Lonchura striata: one gene and its partners. The protein of the gene in region 1 binds, or shares a complex with, the protein of each later gene. Links are inferred from orthologs where the notes say so. Each region holds a gene or a part of one and is shown in the gene's direction. Other genes may lie near its edges. The genes, in order: WDR20, WDR48 and USP46.

The links.
Region 2: the proteins of WDR20 (region 1) and WDR48 are in contact, whole or in part, in a crystal structure (PDB 5K1C), measured with the Homo sapiens proteins. The link is inferred for Lonchura striata from reciprocal best matches to the Homo sapiens genes WDR20 and WDR48. Residues at the interface, in NP_653175.2 of Homo sapiens: Arg20, Ser364, Thr384, Glu385, Asp386, Glu524, Pro525, Leu526; in NP_065890.1 of Homo sapiens: Val191, Lys207, Gly208, Gly240, Gln241, Gln242, Arg243, Cys244, Ile245.
Region 3: the proteins of WDR20 (region 1) and USP46 are in contact, whole or in part, in a crystal structure (PDB 6JLQ), measured with the Homo sapiens proteins. The link is inferred for Lonchura striata from reciprocal best matches to the Homo sapiens genes WDR20 and USP46. Residues at the interface, in NP_653175.2 of Homo sapiens: Asn41, Ser42, Gly44, Arg151, Lys259, Tyr261, Phe262, Gly263, Glu282, Asp283, Asp284, Leu285, His301, Lys304, Ser305, Trp306, Gln374, Asp375, Thr376, Leu509, Arg516, Met517, His533, Glu534, Arg535; in NP_073743.2 of Homo sapiens: Asn205, Thr206, Ser207, Thr209, His210, Arg213, Arg273, Val275, Phe276, Pro277, Glu279, Leu280, Arg281, Phe283, Asp293, Met295, Gln338, Glu342, Tyr344, Thr347, Ser348.

The regions. Positions count from the first base shown.
Region 1 is NC_134608.1:11,010,755-11,018,111, reverse strand, and holds the start of WDR20 (WD repeat-containing protein 20), read left to right. Parts: upstream 1-4,272; 5' UTR 4,273-4,315; coding exon 4,316-4,564; intron 4,565-7,357. UniProt on the Homo sapiens protein: Regulator of deubiquitinating complexes. Activates deubiquitinating activity of complexes containing USP12. Anchors at the base of the ubiquitin-contacting loop of USP12 and remotely modulates the catalytic center of the enzyme.
Region 2 is NC_134603.1:151,959,117-151,966,134, forward strand, and holds the start of WDR48 (WD repeat-containing protein 48), read left to right. Parts: upstream 1-3,987; 5' UTR 3,988-4,020; coding exon 4,021-4,068; intron 4,069-7,018. UniProt on the Homo sapiens protein: Regulator of deubiquitinating complexes, which acts as a strong activator of USP1, USP12 and USP46. Enhances the USP1-mediated deubiquitination of FANCD2; USP1 being almost inactive by itself.
Region 3 is NC_134606.1:26,394,318-26,401,569, reverse strand, and holds the start of USP46 (ubiquitin carboxyl-terminal hydrolase 46), read left to right. Parts: upstream 1-4,148; 5' UTR 4,149-4,608; coding exon 4,609-4,644; intron 4,645-7,252. UniProt on the Homo sapiens protein: Deubiquitinating enzyme that plays a role in behavior, possibly by regulating GABA action. May act by mediating the deubiquitination of GAD1/GAD67.

The DNA.
Region 1 (7,357 bases):
TACAGCAGTGATTGGGACTGACTTCAGTTTATTGGTTGTGTGGCGCATACAAAACACCTCATTTGGGGTGTCCTCCTGGGATCATTTCAGAACTATCATCTTTGGTTAGCTTGAAACAGAAGAATTTTCAAGTGATACAGGAATTTTTTTTTCATAAGACTTATCTCTGTAATCTCTTTTTCTCCTAGTATTTGATGAGCATTGTTGATGGGTTGTACAATAGTGTTCTTGTGACTCGCAGCTGTGTTTTTCAAATGAATATTTGTCTTGGATTCTCCGTGGAACCTCTCAGCAGCTTTTATTGATGTTTCTTGTAAATGTAAAACACTACATCAATTCTTTGACTTTCTACACCATCATGTACTGCTGATAACCAGGTACTTGTTAACTTTGTTTATTCTTTGGATCACACTCATTCCATCAGTGACAGATGGCCTGTTGTGGTTTCAGTACAATTTGCATTCCACACAGTCCCTCTACCAAAGTTGCCTGCTTTCTTCTGCAGAGTGATCTATCCTGTGTTGTCAGTGGGTAATGGATGACATACTGAGTATGCCTGCTTGGAGCAACATTTTTTTTTTTAATTTTGTTGTTGTTGTTACATCTTTATCTGTTTTGAGTATTACTACTTAGAGATCCTTGCTGTTCCTGCTCTTCTTTGGCAATTCTTTGGGGAAAGAAAATATTCTTTCTCTCTGGAACTCCATTAATGAAATTTCTTTATGAAACAATCACTTTTAACATGATTTTTAAAAACATGCAGGGCTGCTTACCTACTTTATGTGCTTTTAGGAGGTCATCAATACCATCTGGCAGGACTGGCTGATAAGCTGACAAGATCTATTGGTCATTATTGATTTGGTTTATCTTAAGAATTTCAAGCAAGTCTTTAATACCTAGCCTTTTAGAAGTCTAATCATCTGTACTTGTTCAGATATTCACTCAGATACATACTCTGTTCTGGAGATCCTTGGCTGTTTCAGGTCTCAGCTAACTTTTACTAATATTTTGATGGTCAGCAGCAAGACAGTATTCAGCTACAAACAAAATCTCTTTGAACTAAATTGACTTGAAACTAAATCCCTTTAACCCCGTGCAGTCTGGAAGACTGAGTGGACCTCTTCAGCTGAGCTGATGTAATGGAAAGAAGGAAGGTCCTGCTGTCCATTGCCTTAAGCAGACAGTGTTTTTAACATTTGCAAGGAGTTTAGTTGTCTATCCATTTACCTTTTAGAAATGGCTCCTCATAAGGTCAGGAGGGCACTGTGGCTGGTACAGGAAGGAGTAGCAGCAGATAGATGTAGTCCAGAAAGAAAAGAGCAGGACAATGCCTTTGGTAGCAGTCACATTAGAGCCACACAGCTACAGCAGGAAACTATACCTTGAAAGTGTGTTTTTTTATTGCTAACATAAAATGTTCTAGTTCTTTGCTGCTTATCTTCCCCTGGTTGCACACTACTCCTTCCTTATTTTGGCTCCAGCAGTTCTTTGGGTGAGTTGAATCAAACTGGTTGCTGGTCAACACTTTGCTTACCTGAGAACTCATAATTTCTGTGTGTGTGTGTTAACTTTCAGGTGGATCTGACTCACCCTTTGGTTGCATGATTACTAGAACTGATGCAAGGCAGGTAATGGAAATACCCGTAGAGGAGGGGCCAAAACCTTTTTTTCCAGCTGGAGATCAGTCTTAGATCAGTTTGAATCAGTCATGAGGCTGTTGTCAGACAAACTCTTAAAGCCAAAACTGCTGTCAGAAGAAACAGTCCTACCTCCTTGCCCAGTGAATACAATCCTTCCCACCAACCCTGTGCCACCTCCATCTGATATTGATCTGGTTCACCATGCAACACAGCTGGCAGTATGGCTGCAGGATGATCAGAACAATGAGGTGAGAGATTTGATAACCAGTTTTTCAGGTTCACACCTCAGGCCAACTCCCAGGCCTGGCTCTGCCTGCAGCAGGTTGGAGCCTGGTGCAGAGCTGGAGGGATGGAGGTGCCATCTCCATCAGGGGCACCCCGAGCTTGGCATGAAGTGCCAAAATACAGCTGCACACCTGGATTTGCTGTCCCTAAACTCTCAGACTCTCACAGCAAGACTCACCAGGCTTCCAGGCACTGCCAAGTACCCTGTGGGCAAAGCTGGCCCAAACGAGCCAACAGAGATGTCCAGAGCTGTGTGTGAATGGGAGCTCTCACCTGGGAGCCATTGCCCCAAAACCACTGCTGCACATGGACACCTCCTGGCTCTGATCTGGCACTTCCAGCAGCGGGGATCACCTCACCCCACGCTGTGCTGGCACAGATGCCCACATCCTTAGGTGACCTCCTCCTCCCCCTCTCTCCCATCCCCCAGAGCAGCTGCCCTGTGGAGCCACCATGCTGGGTAATGCTGCTGAGACAACATCTGCAGTGCTGTGTCCGGTTTTGGGCTCTGCTGCACAAGAGAGACCTGTTGCTCCTGGACTGGGCCCAGTGGAGAGCTACAGAAATGATTAAAGGACTGGAGCATCTCTTTTAGGAAGAATGGCTGACGGAGCTGGGCCTATCCCGTGTTGAGAAAAGCTGAGAGGGGACCTCATCAATGTGTATAAATATCTAAAGGAGGGGTGTCAGAGGATGGAACCAGGTTCTTCTCGGTGGTGCCACGGGCAGAAACTGATGCACAGGAGCTCCACATGAACATAGGGAAGAACTTCTTTACTGTGCACACTCTGGAACAGGTTGCCCTGAGAGGGTGTGGAGTCCCACCCACTGGAGATGTCCAGGAGCGCTCCGGACACAGCCCTACTCTGCGGGATGACTGTGGGGGGGGCTGAGGCAGGGGGCTGGGGCAGGAAGGCTGGGGCAGGAAGGCTGGGGCAGGAAGGCTGTGCAGGGGGGCTGTGCAGGGGGCTGGGGCAGGAAGGCTGTGCAGGGGGCTGTGCAGGGAGGCTGGGGCAGGAAGGCTGTGCAGGGGGCTGTGCAGGGGGCTGTGCAGGGAGGCTGGGGCAGGAAGGCTGTGCAGGGGGCTGTGCAGGGGGCTGTGCAGGGAGGCTGTGCAGGGGGCTGGGGCAGGAAGGCTGTGCAGGAAGGCTGTGCAGGGGGCTGGGGCAGGAAGGCTGTGCAGGGGGGCTGGGGCAGGGGGCTGGGGCAGGGGGGCTGTGCAGGGGCTGTGCAGGAGGGCTGTGCAGGGAGGCTGTGCAGGGAGGCTGTGCAGGGAGGCTGGGGCAGGAAGGCTGTGCAGGGAGGCTGGGGCAGGGGGGCTGTGCAGGGAGGCTGTGCAGGGAGGCTGTGCAGGGAGGCTGGGGCAGGGGGGCTGTGCAGGGGCTGTGCAGGAGGGCTGTGCAGGGGGCTGGGGCAGGAAGGCTGTGCAGGAGGGCTGTGCAGGGAGGCTGTGCAGGGGGCTGTGCAGGGGGCTGGGGCAGGGGGGCTGTGCAGGGGGCTGTGCAGGGGGGCTGTGCAGGGAGGCTGGGGCAGGAGGGCTGTGCAGGGGGCTGTGCAGGGGGCTGGGGCAGGAGGGCTGTGCAGGGGGCTGGGGCAGGAAGGCTGTGCAGGGGGCTGTGCAGGGAGGCTGTGCAGGGGGCTGTGCAGGGGGCTGGGGCAGGAAGGCTGTGCAGGGGGGCTGTGCAGGGGGGCTGTGCAGGGGGGCTGTGCAGGGGGCTGTGCAGGGAGGCTGGAGCAGGAAGGCTGTGCAGGAGGGCTGTGCAGGGGGCTGTGCAGGGGGCTGTGCAGGGGGCTGGGGCAGGAAGGCTGTGCAGGAGGGCTGTGCAGGGGGCTGTGCAGGGAGGCTGGGGCAGGGGGGCTGTGCAGGGGGCTGGGGCAGGAAGGCTGTGCAGGGGGCTGGGGCAGGAAGGCTGTGCAGGGGGCTGTGCAGGGGGGCTGTGCAGGGGGCTGTGCAGGGGGGCTGGGGCAGGGGCTGTGCAGGGGGCTGGGGCAGGAAGGCTGTGCAGGGGGCTGGGGCAGGAAGGCTGTGCAGGGGGCTGTGCAGGGGGCTGGGGCAGGAAGGCTGTGCAGGGGGCTGTGCAGGGGGCTGGGGCAGGAAGGCTGTGCAGGGGGCTGTGCAGGAAGGCTGTGCAGGGGGCTGTGCGCGGTGTCCCCCGCCGGGCCCCTCGGGCACGCCGCCGCTCCCGCCCGAGGCCCCGCCCACTCACAGCCCCCGCCCCTTTCCCCGCCCCCGGCGCGCGGGCCCGGCGCGCGCGCAGTCGCGCGGTAAACAGGCCCCGCCGGCCCCGCCTCCTCGCGTCGCCCCCGCGCGCAGGGGCCGCGCGCGCGCCGGCGGCTGCGCAGTGTCGGCACATCCGGGCACTGGGGCAGGATGAGCGCTCCTTTCCAAGATGGCGGCGGAGGGAGGTGGGAAGGAGATGAACGAGATTAAGACCCAGTTCACCACCCGGGAGGGGCTGTACAAGCTGCTGAGCCACTCGGAGTACAGCCGGCCTAACCGCGTGCCCTTCAACTCGCAGGGCTCCAACCCCGTCCGCGTCTCCTTCGTCAACGTCAACGACCAGAGCGGCAACGGGGACCGGCTCTGCTTCAATGTGGGCCGGGAGCTCTACTTCTACATCTACAAGGGGGTCCGCAAGGTACCGGGGCTCCCCCGCCGGGCTGGGGCGGGGAGCGGCGGGGCTCCGCGCCGCCCGCCCGCCGGGGTGCGGGCCGCGCCGGGGGCGGGGGCGCGGGGCCGGGCTGCGCCTCGCTCGCTGTCCCCACTCCCCGCGGGGCCGGCGGCTCCTCGGCTCCGGCCGAGCTCCGCTCAGCCAGCTGGCGGCTGGGCGGGGGAGAGCGGGCCTGCGGCGAGGGCGGTGTGAGGGCATCGGCGGCGGGCCGGTGCTCGGGGCTGCTCCACATACGGTGTCACCGACGGGAGCCGTGTGTGTGGGCCCTGTGCAGGGATGCGATCGCTTGGGCGCTCCTCGTGCGGGAATCAGGGTTGGCTTTCCCTCCCTCGGCCTCCGTCACCTGCTGCTTCAGGTCAGAATTTGCTGGACACGCTAATGCCTGTCGTGATTATGGTGGTGTCAAATCCCTGCTTCCAGGCTCTTCCTAGCTTTGGCTGCACGTCTGAAGCATTCGGTGCAGTTTTAGGCCTTTGTTATGACTTAGAAGTGTGGGTTGGTTTTAGAATTATTCCTAAATGGGAGTGGTGTAGTGAGATGAGTCTTAAATATCAGATAATTGACAGAGAGAAAGTTGCTTTTGCAGGATAAAAAGATTGATGTACTTGAGAGAGACACTTCTTGCTTGTCATTATTGGATGCAGTACAGTGCATGCATTTGATCTCTCAGGTCACCATATTTATGAACAAACCCTTCTCTCAAACAGGATTGAGAGAACAATTCGGAATTTGCTGTGCTAGGTGAACCCACGTCACTCCTAATAGATATAAACACATATATAATGAATGTCAGTTTTCTGCTTTGTCTCAGATAGTGGGTGTTCGTTATTTTACATGCTTGGGTCTCAGTTGCCATCATGTGATCGCCTTGAAATCTTCCTGCTTTTAGCTCACCATTCAGCATGGGATGAGGGCACGGAGAGCTAGAGACTCACACGAGGCTGTGCAGGAAGCTCGTGGATGAGCAAGGGATTATACCTGAATCTGCTGTGTCCTAGGGGAGTGCCCCCAGCACTCCTCCTTTCTATAAAATGTCGGCAGCAGCAGGAGTTTAAAGTCTACATGGTTGTTTGTTAGACTGTGACCTAACAGATCTGATATGTCTTGTATAATTATATGTGAAAGTGTGTGTGTGTATTTAGTTTCACCTTTTAATGAATTTTAATAATCTAGGTATGTTTCAAATAATGCTTGGACAATGGCTTCTTTAAGGATACAAGGAGTATTTAGTATCAAACAGTATTCCCTACTTACAACCAGTTGCTGTCTTTACAAGGTATCCTGAGGAGCAGTATCTCTGAAAATCTACATCCTAAATTGTTGCCATGTTTGGGTCCTGCTGTTTGTTTTTTCCATGCAAAGTAGCTGCAGAGTTCTCTGAGCTCACAGAGCAGGCCTTTATGTAGTTTAGTAATGGTACATGTGATTCTTGCAAGTTCTCTTAGTCATCTCTTGCCACACTTCTGACAAATAAAAATCTAAAGGCTGGAACTTAGTTGACAATAAGGAATAGAATAATTATAGTTATATCAAATTACAAAAGTCTTCTTGAACTGGGTATTTAGATATTTGGTATTTAGATTTTTTAGATGCTAAAAGCTACTGGTATGGTATGCAGTAACTGAGAAATTTGAGTTTGTGAACTCATGAGCTCTGGAGGCATCTGTACCTGTGACAGTGTGAAATACTTTTTTCTCTGAATAGAGTGAAACATAGACATTGTTAGGACAGAATTAATCTCAATGACCTTTTACAGTATTAACTATGTAAAACAATACTGTATATTCTATATGTATAATACTTTGGTAAAGTGAACCTAAAGAAAGAGCTGAAATAGATTGACTCACTTTAAGGAAAATGCTTTAAATGAGAATGAGAAGATGGTCTGATTTAAATCTGCAATACTTGCTGCTTTGGAATTTATTTTGGAACTTCAGTTGGAAGTAACTGTTTTGTCTGTGTATGAAAGTGAATCAGGAACAGGCTGACAGCCTGTCAACTGATCGTGTGAACTTTTCAGAATCAAAAGTTCTATCTTGTGGCTGTCATAAAAGGGAGAGAGCTATTGTTACTTAAATGGACACGATGTAATTCTGCCTTAAACTGGGCAGACTATCACATTTTGTGTTCCTTCCTGTTCCTGGGATGAGGATGGGGAAAGGGATTTGATCTGTTTAAAACCCAGCTATTTGTGCTCCTTGGCGTAATACAGGTGCTGATAACTTCAGTTTTACCTGTTAGTTCATAATTATTTATGTATTCCTTAAAAATTTTCCCTGATTACTTTTAAGATCGTGATTTTCATTCTGACTAAGTCATATTGGAATATTGAGTTGAATTTAATGACGCTGTGCTGTGTGAATATATCAACTGTGATTTTGTCTTTTTTTTTTCTTGTTTTTTCCTTTTTTTTTTTAAGATTATTTTAAGACCTCTTTTCTTGATAGGAAAATGTTACATTTTTCCTAAAATGAGCAAAAGAACCACGAGGACTGTATTTTAAGTGGCTGTGTCTGTTTGGTACTGAGATAATTCTTGCATCAGTAATCCATTGCAGATCAGTACACATTAAGGAAGAGCAACACTTAAGCCACGAATGACACTGAAAAATAAATAACCTAATATTGAGTCACAGATACCACTTGGAAGGCTATTTCGTGACATCAATAATGCTAATTTTTCTTCTTTTAGTTTCCCTTAAATGCTTTGTGTCTGCTATATCTGGTTTGTAAGTCACCTTTTTACATGAACTGCTGATGT
Region 2 (7,018 bases), on another chromosome or scaffold:
AAGATCTGTTCTGTGATCTCCTCAGGCACAGAGGGAAGGCTGACGGGGTGGGAGTTCCAGCAGCCTCCTTTCTACCCTCTTTAAAGATGGGCAAAAATGTTTCCCTTTTCCCAGTTACCTGGGGCTTCACCTGACTGCCAGAATTTTTCAAATACTTAGAGAGAGGCTTGGCAACTACAGCAGACAAATACCTCAGGCTTTGGGATGTATCTCATCATGCCCCATAGACTTATGTACATTCAGGTGTCATGAACCTGATTGTTACTCACACTGGGAAGCATTTTTTTCAGAGCAGTGGGAAGATTATGATTTAATATCTCTCCTAAGACAAATCTGAAATGTATTTATTGGTTTTTTTTTTCAAATATAAAATGAAGGCATGTTTTTTTCAGTTGAGTTGTGTGCTGACTTCAGGCTAATGGTAATTGCTGAGGTGTTTCAGATGCTGTCATGCACACAGGATGGAGATTTATTGGATTCTGGGTTGGAAAAGAATGAGGCAAAGTGAAGTTTTCCCTGTAAGTAAATACTGAGTAAAGTGCCTGACTACATTTCACTATACATTAGTCCATTAAGAAGCAGATTACTTCTTCTCATAACACAGTCATTTTCATGCATACACTTAAGTGATTTCTTGTCTTGTCTCAGAGGTAGTGAAATACAGATGCTAGTTTTGTGTTATTCTTTGATCAAATGAAGTACTAATTTCATTCATAAACCTCAGCCATCACTTCATTATCCATAATCACCATCAGATTATTCATTTAAGAAAGAATAATACTGTGTCTTTATGAGCAGTCAGCAACTTTTGTACATTTGATTTAAAATTGACTGTTTATAGACAGAGAAGTTTGCTTTTTACATTTCTATGCAATTTAAAAATGGGGTTTTCTCTTTTTTTTTTTTTTTTTTGTCCATCAAGGAACTTTAAGTATATTGTGACAGCTACTAGTGTATATAATGCAGTGTTTGTTCAACTTGTCAGACCATTAAATTTAAGGTGAAAAAAAATGCACAATGATGCCTTTGTATCACAGAACCATTGTGGTCAGAAGAGATCTCTGGAGATTGCCTGGTCCAGCAAAGATCACATTTACTGAGGGCAGCTAAAAGTATGAGTATCATAATAGTGATAATTTTCTGGTTTTTGTGTGTATGTTTACCAAACCTGAACTAAAGGCAATATTACATAAAAAAACATGGTAGGTAATGATTTCTTTGTTATGCAGGAAACCTTCCAGCCTTTCAAGATGTTTGTGTTATTTCCTAGTAGGAGAGTGGTAAGATGATCTTGTCTATATTAGCTGTTTGCTTTAGGTTTTGGAAGAGAAAGAATATGATGTTTATATGAGTCTAGGGATTATTTTTCAATTTCCATGAAAATCTGATCTTCTTAGACTAGATTGTGAATTTCTGAGAACATTGCAGTGAGCAAACTGCTGCTGAGCCAAAAAGGAAGTGCTGGAGAACCAAACAGGTCTCAGGAGTGAAGCCAGGATGTTGAAACGGGGAGAGAAGGAAGAATGGAAATGCCCAGAATGTAAGAATAGAGTGAATAAACACTGTAATGAAGAGCAAGTAATAAGAGTATAGAGATTATATTTCCTTAATAACAGTGACTTCTAGAATGCTGTGGAATTTCCCAGCTTCCTCTGTGTGCTGCTGCATTCTCTCTGTCAAAGCTTGACAGTCACAGAACCAAAATGTTAAAAGATTTTAGAAATACACTGTAAGAATGATTTGCAGCCTGGGAAGTATGATTTTGTCCACTGGAGAGAAGATGGAAGGAAACACAACAGCATGAAAAAATAGTTAAGAAGAAATGTGGAACAAACTCATCTTCATGTCCACAAGGAGTGAACCAAGCAGTAACAGGCTGAGGCTGCAGCTCAGGAAATTCAGAGGAAGCACAAGGAAACCCATTTTTGGAAGTGAGAACAGTGAAGCAGTAGAATATGTTGGAGATGAAGGTATTGGAATCACCATCTGTTGCAACTAGGGACTAAACTGATATCTCTGGGAATTACATCAGTGGAGTTGAAGCTGTTTTGGGATAAATTGACTAATTTGTTTTAGGACATCACTCCCAAACACATTTTCAAAAGATATAATTATACAAATACAAGTAGAAAATATTTTGCATTTAAAAAAGGTCTTTAATCCTCCAGGAAAAGCTGTAATTGGTTCTCTACTTGGGTTAAGAGCTACACACAAGTTCAAGATATAAAGACATGCATTTTAAAATCAGATAATCACAGAAAAAATACCCAAAGGACATGGCAGATTCTACGTAGCTTGAAACCAAAAGTGCTGCAGGCTATATATAATTTATGGGCATGACTCAGATTCAACTGTTTGAAAATGCTGTATTTGGGCTGTGCTTTATGGGATGTGAAACTTGGTGATCTAAAGTACGATTTTAATGTTTTGTGTGACTAAAATCTCCTGAGATACCATATTCTATGTCTGCATAAGCAAGGTATTCGAGTAAAACAACCCATTGTTTTAGACTCCATCATGTCTAAAATCTGCTGTAAAAGCCACAAAAATACATTCACATAACATTGTACAATGAGCCCAGTGCTTGCAGTGGTTCTCTGGAATTGCTGTGTCTGTAACTGCAACTCTTGCTGCCGAATTAGAGAGAAGTTACTACTGCAGCATTAACTTTGTCTTAAATTTGCTTAATCTAACCAGTAAATACTGGGTTCTCGTTCAGTTATTAGGAATAAATTCTGCACTGTGAGGATGGGGAGGTCCTGGCACAGGTTTCCCAGAGAAGCTGTGGCTGCCCCTGGATCCCTGGAGGTGCCCAAGGCCAGGTTGGACAGGGCTTGGAGCAACCAGGGATAGTGGAGAAACCTGGGATGGCAGCGGATGGCTCTGGATGAGCTTTAAGGTGTTTTCCAACCCAAACCATTCCGTGATTCCGTGAAACACTGCAGTGAAGGAAGGACTTTGGCCAAGGCAGATCTCATTTCACAAACCACACACTCCACCTGCAACTGCGATGAGGACATACAGCTCTACACTGCTAGAAAAAGTGACCTGTATCAAAACAAAAAAGTTTAAATCAGAAGTAAAAAATATCCTTATCTTCTACTTAGCCTTGCAGCCAGCACTGAAGAATAGGAATGCCTGAATACATCATTTAATGCTTAACCCCTTACATTTTTATCTCTCCCTTAATTTTTCCCTCTATGTTAATATGGAATTAATGCATTTAAGTGCAAGTACCTGGATGCCTGTGGTGTGATACCTCCCTTTCCAAAGGGTTCCATGTGGTTTGGTGGGATGTTTTAAAATTCCTTTTTCACTGACTTAACTATTAGCACCTTTACTGATGTACCACAAAGAAGTAACCAAGAAATGGTGTGCTGAAAATAGAGTCTCACATACAGCTTCATACAGCTCCTCACCCAGAAGATACAGTAGCAGATACAAAATATTACGAGTTGGAAGACACCCACAAAGATGATCGAGTCCAACTTTTAAGAGAATGCCCATATGGGGATATGAGTTATCAGCACCGTACTCTAACCAACATCTCTACTTCTTAATGAACAAGAATATCGATGCAGAGGAATCTCTGGCTATTATTAATGAAATACAGAACTACTGATAAAAGACCATCTGATTATTATTGGCAGCTAAAACCCCTGATTTGGTTTATTCAAGTGGATCCTTTCTTATTTCAACACAGGCCTTTCACCACCAGCCGAGACGAAGCAAAGCAGGACGAAGACACCGCAGGAGCACCAGGCGGCGGCCGTGCGGGACACAAGAGCAGCAGAACGAGGAAGAGAACAAACCCGCCCCGCCCTGGGGCCGGGCTGAGGCGGCGCCTCATGAGCGGCAACATGGCGGGCGGCGCGGGAGGGCGGCGCGAGGGCCGCGCCCCCATTGGCCGCGCCCCTTGGCCACGCCCACCGCCGCCGCTGGCGTATAAAAGCCTCGCGCGGGCCGGCTGAGGGGCCGGCGCTTCCGGTCGGACATGACGCCACAGTGTCAACATGCAAGATGGCGGCGCATCACCGGCAGAACACGGCGGGGCGGCGGAAAGTGCAGGTGAGGGCGCGGCGGGGCCGGCACGGCTCCAAGGGAGCCCGGAGCCTCGCGGCTGCAGGGTGTCAAGCCTTGGGGGTTTCTATGGTAGCGCAGTCGCCCCGCTCTCCCGCGGCAGCGGTGAGGGGAGGCAGCACCGCACGCCCCCGGCGTGTCTCCCCTGCCACTCCTGGCCGCCGTGGCTGAGGCACCGCGGGGGATGAGCTGCTGCTCGCTGCCGAGCAGGGTCGGGTTCTGCTGCAGAGCTGAAGCAGCTCAGATCAAAAGCGGAGAAGCACACGGGGAGAGGTGAGCTGAGAGCGGTGCCCTCAGACCTGCTTTGGTGTATTCCCAGCAGCGGCAGGGCTGAGATTCCTGTCTCGGCTGTGTCCGGTGCCAGAGTAGATTTAGATTCGATATTAGGAAGAAATTCTTTACTGCGAGCATGGTGAGACACTGAAATAGTTTTCCTAGTGAAGCTGTGGATGCTTCATCCTTGGAAATTTTCAGGGCCGGGTTGGACGGGGCTCTGAGCAGCCTGGTCCAGAAGAAGCTGTCCCTGCCCAGGGCAGGGCGTTGGAACTGGGAGATCTCCAAGGTCCCTCCCAACCCAGACCATTCCATAATTCGATAATCTGTTTTGCATCATATTTCTGCGAAACACTCTGTCCCTTCACACACGTGAGTGAGGAGCAGTTTTTTTGTTTTTTTTTTTCCTCAAATTTCAGAGTTATTCCTTGCCGGCTCCAGGCAGCATTTGTTGAAGGAAACCTGTGGCACAGGCAGTCAGATGGGTGTAGACTTTCTCAGCACATTTGAGGAAGAATTAAACCCTGCGGTTGTTTGGGCTCACGTGTAGCTACAAGTGGATTGTTGTAGCCTTGGTTGAGACTGGAGTTACCAAAGTGTGTGTAAAAAGTCATTACAGTAGTTTTGTTTTATGGTTCTCAATGCTTTTCTTCTTGCTTGGGATACTGCCTGCCCTTTAGATGTCTTTACAGCTTTCATTATGGAAAAGATTTAATGCTTTATCAATTAAAGCAGCCTAGTGGCAAGTGCCAGTTTCAGCTGTACCTATCCAGTGTGATCAAATGAAATATTGATTAGGCTTGAAAAGTAGCATTAGGAGCTTTCAAAACAGAGGTGGGTTTGGGTTTTGGACGTATCATTTATCACACAGAAGAAAGGGGCATCTTATAGAGCTTTTAGTGTTTTCTGTGGTTAAGGGAAGCACTCTTTCAATTCTATATAAGGAATCCCCTTGCTTTATTAGAAAAAAAAAACCCCAAAAAACAGGACATGCTTTAAAATATAAACAATGCCTCTGCTATGAACAAGTTTTCTCAGGTTATACCCCTAAGGAGGGGGATTTGATTGTACCTTGATATTTGTTTGCACTCCTATTTATGAAGTAGTATTTGCCTGACAGCAGCATGCCTCAAAGAGCTCAATTTTTACTACTACTTCTCTTTTCCAAGCATGGCTTAGCTCAAAAACTTGTTTTTACAGGTGGTTTTGTGCTGGTTTATGATGTTTTGTCTGTTCTCATTGTGCTGTGTGGTATTTTTTCACCTCATGTACTAATGACACATGATATACATAACACTGGTCTGTGTCTTGGCAGTGCACTGTGAGTTTGCATCCAGCTTGGCTGTGCTTCCAGAGAAGCTTTCCAGCCCTGGAAGTGTTCAAGACCAGCTTGGACAGGGCTGGGAGCAACCTGGCAGAGTGGAAGGTGTCCCTGCCCATTGCAGGGGGTGGAATGAGAGCATATTCTAACCCAAACCATTCCATGATAAACATTTATAAAGCTTGTCTAGCAGCTAGGGTTTTTTTCTTGACTCTTACTATTTCACCTGCTTGGTTTGTAATAGGAATTTGTACAAGTAAAGGAGTTTTAAGTGGTTGTTTTATCCATCAGCTGCTAATAGAAAAATAAAACTACTCATTATTAATTTTAATTCCCAGTGCTTGAGCATTTAGGGTGCTTCTGCACAGAGTTTTTGAGAGAGAGACAGAATTAGAGAAATTTATTCCAAACCTATGAGGCTGGAAGAAAAAGCTTTTACAAAAGACATCTCTTAGGCAAGGAGGAACTTGATTCCTTACATGGCAGGAGAGCTGGTTGAAGTTTATGGAAATCAGAACTATTATTAGCTTGGATGCACCTGTTCTACTGGTAAGCAAAGCCATCCAAAATAGTCAGTTTAGGGTGCTTCTGCATATAATTTTAGTTTCTAATGGTTTAATCAGAGTTTTAGGCCTCAAAATAAATTCCATGCATAGAAAAAGAAAACAAGTTAAACTCTTTAAATGGGAGTAAAGCATTTCAAGTTTCCAGTGGCAGGTGTTCATGAAGCTTAGCCATGCTTTTTTGAAGGCTGCAGGAGTGAGGTTGAGTGTTTTGGGGAGGGAGGGAGGATGCAGAGGTGTATGAGACACTGATTTGGGGAGGGAGGGAGGATGCAGAGGTGTATGAGACACTGATTTGGGGAGGGAGGGAGGATGCAGAGGTGTATGAGACACTGATTTGGGGAGGGAGGGAGGATCCAGAGGTGTATGAGACACTGATTTGGGGAGGGAGGGAGGCTGCAGGGGTGTGTCAGACGCTGATTTGGGGAGGGAGGATGCAGAGGTGTGTGAGACACTGATTTGGGGAGGGAGGATGCAGAGGTGTGTGAGACACTGATTTGGGGAGGGAGGATGCAGAGGTGTGTGAGACACTGATTTGGGAAGGGAGGGAGGCTGCAGGGGTGTGTCAGAAGCTGATTTGGGGAGGGAGGGAGGATGCAGAGGTGTGTGAGACACTGATTTGGGGAGGGAGGGAGGATGCAGAGGTGTGTGAGACACTGATTTGGGGAGGGAGGGAGGATGCAGAGGTGTATCAGACACTGATTTGGGGAGGGAGGGAGGATGCAGAGGTGTGTGAGACACTGATTTGGGGAGGGAGGGAGGATGCAGAGGTGTATCAGAC
Region 3 (7,252 bases), on another chromosome or scaffold:
CTCAAGCAGAAGGAAAACGGCAGGAGAAAGATATATATAATGAGATAATCACAGCTCCGGGCCATTATCAACATTGGACTGGCTGCAGAGGCTTTAGCAGCTTCTTCATAGGATAGAATTTAATGGCTTGCACTAGAGAACTCTTAGACCCTTTGTATCTACTCAGTCAGCTTTTGGTACCTTGACATCAATGTACTTGCCTCTGTCTTATTCTGCTCTCTTTGGGCTTTCAGATCTGGTGTCTGGCCAAGAAAAGATGATGTCAGATGTAAATGTGTTTTGTTTTCTTCTGTAGGGTAGTAATTTCTGAGAAAAATTAAGTGATGATATTCTCTACTTGCCAACTAGTAAAAAAATAGCAAAAGGTAAGCAAGATTTGGGGATCAATTTAATGCAGTTTTATTTCCATACTTTATCTTTAGAATGCTGACAAGTCATACTGTCACCAAAACATGAAGTTTTACAGTATTTTGAATCAAGGAATAATTTCTCAGATAATTTGAAAATGCTGGGTAGGTGTTGCTTTGAAGATGACAGTCTTAAAGAAGAATAGTGATTCTAAAGTTGGGTTGATTTTTTGGTTTTAGACTCTCCACATTGTCTATGGATTTCCATGAATTGTTCATGGACTACAACTCTTACCATTCGAATTTCAGGTGCAGATGGAGTGGTTTCCATGGACCTGCTATGAGCCATGTGCCACAGATTCAATCCATAGGCTGCAAGCTGGTGTTTGGCATTGTTCTAAAGCCACCAGTCTGTTCTGAAATGAGGCCAAGCTTCATGGAAGAGCCTGATTTCTCATTCTTGTGTCTACATATTTTCCATTTTGTTCAAGATATTTTGCTATTTTTTGGTAGAACATCATTTAATATTAGATACAAAACATTTTAAAAATTGTAAAATTCTAAACCTACATTGTCAGCACTGCAAGTATTTCAGATCTCTGAATTCTCTTATAATTCTTATATATTTTCCATGCTTCAAGAAAACTTTTTTCCAACTTGTAATTGGTTGGAAATATATCCTGAATTTGATCTATTCCAAATATTTGTTCAGCAAAACCGACTGATGATTACCTACTTCTGGGCCCAAGTTTATTACAAGAAAAACATAAATGAACCTTTTGTGGAATTTTACAAGATTTCTGGAAAGGAAATGCAGTATCGTCTTTGTAGCACAGAATGAACAGATATTCTAGTCTCAGATTTGCTACCAACTTTCCTGTGTTAACTTTGGGCAAGTCACTAAATTTCCGCTGGCAATTTTCTTGCTTTGTAAAAGAACCTAATATTAATTTGCCACCAAATAATTTAACAACTCTGAGTGAGTGCCTGCAAAATACTCTTGCAAAAAAGTCTGATGGAAAATGTTATGGAAATCCACGCCTCTGTTAGCCAAGGAGGATATCTACAATAGGTCCATATTTTATGTAGTGAAATCGAAATGTTCAAGTGTAAAACCAGATGAGACCAAGATGGATCTAAAATTAAATGCAGGAGGTATTTTTTGACCTTTCAACAGAAATTATATAAGCACTTTTAGGTTATAAATAGTCCTTTGTTTTCCTTGTCTTTGTCTAACACTCAGAAGAAACACAGGGTTGGTTGTTTGTTGTAAGGAGATAGGGCAATGCTTCAGAGTGGAAACAATTGTGCACTGTTCTTTATTTATACAATTCTTATAAAGTTTGTAACTAATATCTGTTGCATTGCTTAGCACTTTTTTATCTTCAAAAAGCTACAGGAATAAAGTTTCTATTCCTGAAAATGACAACAGCAGAAGAAAACAAACACAGATACCAGTCCATTTCTAGCATGAAAGTTTCTTTCTTCTTTCCTGTTTTGATATGTCTGAAGATTGAAAAAGACAGTGCTAGACTATTATCAAACTGAAACATAATTTCCTGTATATTATTCCCTATTTTTATTATTTATCTTCAGAAACAAGGCATGAAATATGTTCACCTTTAAATGAAAGTATTTATATTATCATTAAGGAATATGATACTGAATTCTTTATAGAATGATATGTGTGCATGTTTACAAACATTCCCTTGAACAACTAATAAGTGCTTAATCAGTAGCAATTTAGTTTTGTGTCAAAAATTCTTTAAAAATCAGAAACAACTGAAAATTAAAGTCAAAAAAAGTCAAGTAATTGGCATTTGAGAAAAACAGAAGTATGAAAATACCACTTTTTTCTTTTTTGTTTTCACACTTTCTATGATTTCTCTGGAGTTTGTATTATGGAAATAATGTTATTGACATTAAAATATATGTGAGGCAAATGGCTTTATTAGATACTGCATTTTGTTTCATTTAAATTTTTAATCACCTTTCAAACCCATTTGTTTGTTCCATAACTTTTTACTGATAGCAACTATGATTCTCCACAGTAAATTGGAATAAGTAGGCTGCAGAAAACAATACATGATTAGGCTTGTGTAATAACAGGCATCAGTTTAAAAAACAGGGACGGTGCAGTACTGTCCACTCTCTGCAGGCTACTTAGAAATGTGCTGGAAACCAATCAGACCTTGATTGCTTCAGTCCTGACATGTCGGCTTAACTCCCATTTTCCCTGGTTATGTTGAGAAAACCTGTCATATTATGTGTAATCCAGTTCTCTGAGTTTAAGCAAATTAAATACTTGGGATCAAATTCACACGTAATGTAAGACCATGAACTTAATAGAATTATACCAAAGATAATTTTTTCCCCATGTTATTTAATGGCCCTTTTGAATAGTGATTTGTGGATTAATGAAGCAGTTTAGTGGCCCTGAGGACTTCATTCACTCCGTTAGGTACAAAAATCTTTCTCCATCCTGTATGTTGAATGTCTGCAATGATTTAATATAACTAATCCAGTTTAAGGAAGAAAGAAAATTCTGTCTCTGTGACAACTTGATTTTGAGTTTCTTTGCTGAAGCTGTCAGCAGGATACCAACTAATGCCAAATTTGATACCATTTTTATAAAGTGGGCATTTGTCTACAGTGAGCTGGATTAAGGCCACTTATCTAACAGTATTCTCAGGGTAGGAATTTATCTTTAGATGTTACTGCTGATGCCAGATTTTTATTCCTAATCATAGATCTTTATTTGAAATGATAATTAAAAAACAAAACAAAACAAAACAAAACAAAACAAAACCAACAAACCTGACTTCAGAATGTTTCCAGTAAATAAAGCCTGTGGATGCAGGCTCTACATGCTGCAATTATTTTATTCTAGCATCATGAACTGAAAGGCGTAGCCAAGCATGAGCATGCCACGCTTGAGGTGCTGTTAGGAGCAGAGGTGTCTGTAGAAATGTTAATAGTTCTCTCTTCATTTGAATGATTTCCTCAGCATAGCAGAGGAACAATAAACGGGCCTTAAGCTCCTGCTGAACAAAAAGCAATATCTGCTAAGGAAAGGCGAATTCTAAGATGAGGATTTCCCTAGCTGAACTCTGTTCTTGCTTCCCTCAGAGATTTGCTATGTGACCTCAAGTTAGCTATTTAACAACCTTGTGCCTATTACCACGTGTGTAAATTTAATATACTTACACTGCTCTGCCTTGGAGAAAGGCACGGGCCTCAACTTGCTTGTGTTTGAAGAGAAACTGAGATTATTACATTTGCCGTGTTGTATAAATGGTACATGTCGTGAATTTGTGAGTGAGCACTTGCACACGTGGTGTGGACACAGTCACAAAACAGCATTTGTGAAGATAAATGTTATCTGCATGAATGGCAATGCAAAGCACCAACTGAGGGCAGTAAATTACATTCCAGCCTACTGTTCTGGATTTCGCAAGTACCTGGGCTCCTCTGTACCTCCTAACCAGGTGGGGTGAGCACGTCCCAAAGCACAGTGCCGCCGTCCTCCTGCCCGCACTCTGCCTTCCTGTCCTTCACCCTGCCTGCCGGTATGGCTGCATACGCACTGAGGCCGGGTTTCTCAGCCCCATGGCTGTTCCCGGCCCGGCGATTAAAGCACCCCGGCCCCTGCCGGACGGCCCGTGCGGAGGAGCGGCGGGCGCAGCTCCCCGCGCCCCGCAGCGCATTGGCTGCGGCGGTGGCCGCCCCGCCGAGCCCGCCGGGTGCCCCGTGCCGGGCGCTGCCTCTGACCTTCCCTTCCCTTCGCTTCCCTTCCCCTCCCCGGCGCTGTCAGAGCGGATCAGCGGGCGCGGCGCTGCGATGGAGCGGCGAGCGGCAACGGCGGCCGCCGGGAGAGGAGGAAGAGGAGGAGGAGGAGGAAGGGAGAGATTAGCGCGGTGCCGGCTGGCGCAGAGGCGCGGCTGAGCGCTCCAGCGGGAGCCCGGGGCCCTGCGGACCGTGCGAGAGGCAAAGGCGGAAGAAGCGGAGATGCGGCCGCTCTCCCCGCGCTGCTGAAGCTCCCGGTCACTCGCCCGGAGGAGGGAGGCCGGGAAGGTCCGTCCTTCTCGCTGCTCTGCGGGCGCAAAGGGTGCCTGTGCAGTCCCCTCCTCTTGCTTTTATCCCAGCCCCGGAGCAGGAGCCGCCGCCGCCCCCTATCCCTTCCTGCGCTCTTCCCACCATGAGCGGGGCTGTTTTCACCTTATAAAGATGGCGGTGTGGGATCGCTGCAACCTTTAGACTCATGACTGTCAGAAACATCGCCTCCATCTGTAATATGGTGAGTGCTGGCGGGGGGCGGGCGGCACGGCAGCCCCTGCGGGGGCTGGCTGGGGGGCTGCCCCGGGGGCGCAGCCCAACCGCGCGACTCCATCCCTTGCCCCGGGCAGGCTGCGCCGGGAAGTGCCTGGGATGGAGTTGGCCGAGGAGAGTGCGATGTCCCGAGGAGTTTTCCTGGAGCAGCCCGGGCGTGGGCCCGGGAGGCACGGAGATGCAGAATCAGTGCGAGGCCCCACGGAGCGGGTCTGACCCCGGCCGAGGCGCGCCCTTCCTCCGCCTGCCCTTCCTCTTGCCCTAATACTGCTAAAGGACCAAAGTTGGGTTCTGAATCCGCATTAAATCAATGACCCTGTTTAACCCTCTCAGGCAGGCACTCTGTGGTCTCCTAGGGCCGGGAGCTCCTCAGATTACATAGAAAACGAGGATGTTTAGATGCCGAATAACACCTAGGTGCCTGTTCTAGAAGTCTTGGCTTTAGAGCTAACAGGGTTTAACTTGCACTATATGCTGCTCGAAGAGAACTGGTGTTTGTAAAGTACTCTTGAATCACTTGGCTTTCTCAAAACCACTCAGGCAATTAGGAAGGAATAAGGAAACGTTTATATTTTTGTTTACTATGTTCACTTTGCTACTTTTCTCCCCATGGAACAGTTGAAACTATGTTTTCTGCATTGTGTTTGGGTTTAATTTAAATTTTAACAAACTAGGAGCACTTAATTTGATTTAGGTTTTTGAAACTTCTTGGCAGGAGGAAAAGCTCAAACTATGTCAAAGACTTTTTAATACAGTGAGACTGTAGCAAACTTGCCAAATAAATGGTTGCATGCTAAGCATCCCAATGCAAACAGAAGAGAATCATATTTTTGTTAATTTTCATTTTTTAGTCTGTATTTTTCACCCTTATTTCCAGGTTCTTCAAGAGCAGCTACACACAGTTGCCAGCTTGCCTCCATGTGGTGCCCCAGCATGCCTTGTGCTGCTGATGCCACACATACCATTGATCTGCCCTGGAGAATGGAGCCTGTCTCTAGGGTAAGGCAATGGGCACAACCCCAGAGGCCTGGCTCCTGCGGGGTCTGAGTGAGGGAGTGCAAATTGCAAGCCTGCTCCCCTTCCACGTGTCCACACTTCCACTTAAGTGGGATTGCTTTTTGGTTGCAAATGAGATGCCTGGGAAATCCTATGCATAGGTTTGATTTGAACCTCAGCCCTCCCTTTGAAATACATGGTTTGAAATGCAGGGAGGGTGTGTTGATTCTGGGCTTAAAAGAATTAATATAAAATCCAGATTTGAGGTATAATAACCTGGATGCTCACCTTTCTTCACCAACAGTAACAAGTTTTCTGAACTCTTCATTGTTCTTAATGATTTCCAGTCCAGTGAGCAACAAATACTGCAAAAAGAGGTTCAGGAAATGGTACAGGACTGCGGAGAAAACCTAGGTGCACTTACCTTCTCTCTGAGACAGGCTTCAGTTTTTACTCATTAATGGTGGATGTAATGCCTTGCAAACTGTATAAAAGAACACTGCATGAAGGGGAGCTGGAGACTCATAGGTGGATGTAATACCTTGGCATAAAGTGCTAGGAACTCTGACTTTTTCATGTGCTTCAGGCAGTGCACTTGTACGCAGCACACTTCTCCCAAAGACTGAACAGATTCACAGCAGAACTGATGAGGTTGTTGCAGTGGTGTGCTGCAAATGTAGCATCTGAGAGATGGAGAGACCGAAGGGAAGAAGGAGAGCCCCAAGCAGAAAAGGCATACAAGGATTCGTACTTTAAGGCAATTCTAGCTCATGGTACTGTGACAGAAGGTGCAGTCGATGTAATATTAATGATATTTTAAGGCTACATATTCCTTGAGGTCTGTGTACTTAGCTTTTAGAGATGCCATGTTGTGTTGGTCACATTTAGCTTCTTCTGGATAACCCTCAGGGACTGGAAGTTCTTTTAGGTATAAACAATGGAGTTTTAGACAGCTACAGGAATTTGGGGCTGTAAGAGAAATACAAATTCTTGCAAGTGTTGACAATATTGTATTATGGCTCCTCCAAAAATGTGTCCACTCTGATGAGGTGATGGACTTGAACCAATGATCTGTAGAAGGAGCTGTGACAACCTTCCAGAGGGCTAGAGGTATAAAAGTAAACCTTTGCTTTTTTAAAACCTAAATATTTGCAGCTCTAGTTTGATTTAGGACATCTGTAGAAATCTATCTAGAAAGATGCTGAGATGCTGATTCTCAGACCTTGCTCCTGCACTATAATATAGTGCTTGAAAACTGAGCTACTGACAAGTTGTGGACTAAGAAATAGCTGTGTAGTTCTTAGGTAATATATAATGTTACATAATAGTAGGTTTCTAAGTTTGTTAACCTGGCTAAACTCAGTAATTAAAAAAGGGGTTCTGGTCTTTATTTTTTCCCATTCCACTTTAGAGTGTTCACAGAGGGTTTTTCAGTTTTTGAAAAAAAAAAGCCCCCAGAATTCAAACAATTATGTCTGGTTGATTTTTAGGGGTGGCATGGAGAGTAGAGGAAGAGAGACAGGCAGCAATTGGTGCTGAAATACTTGTCCTTCCCTGAATGCAGCTTAGGTTGTGTTTTC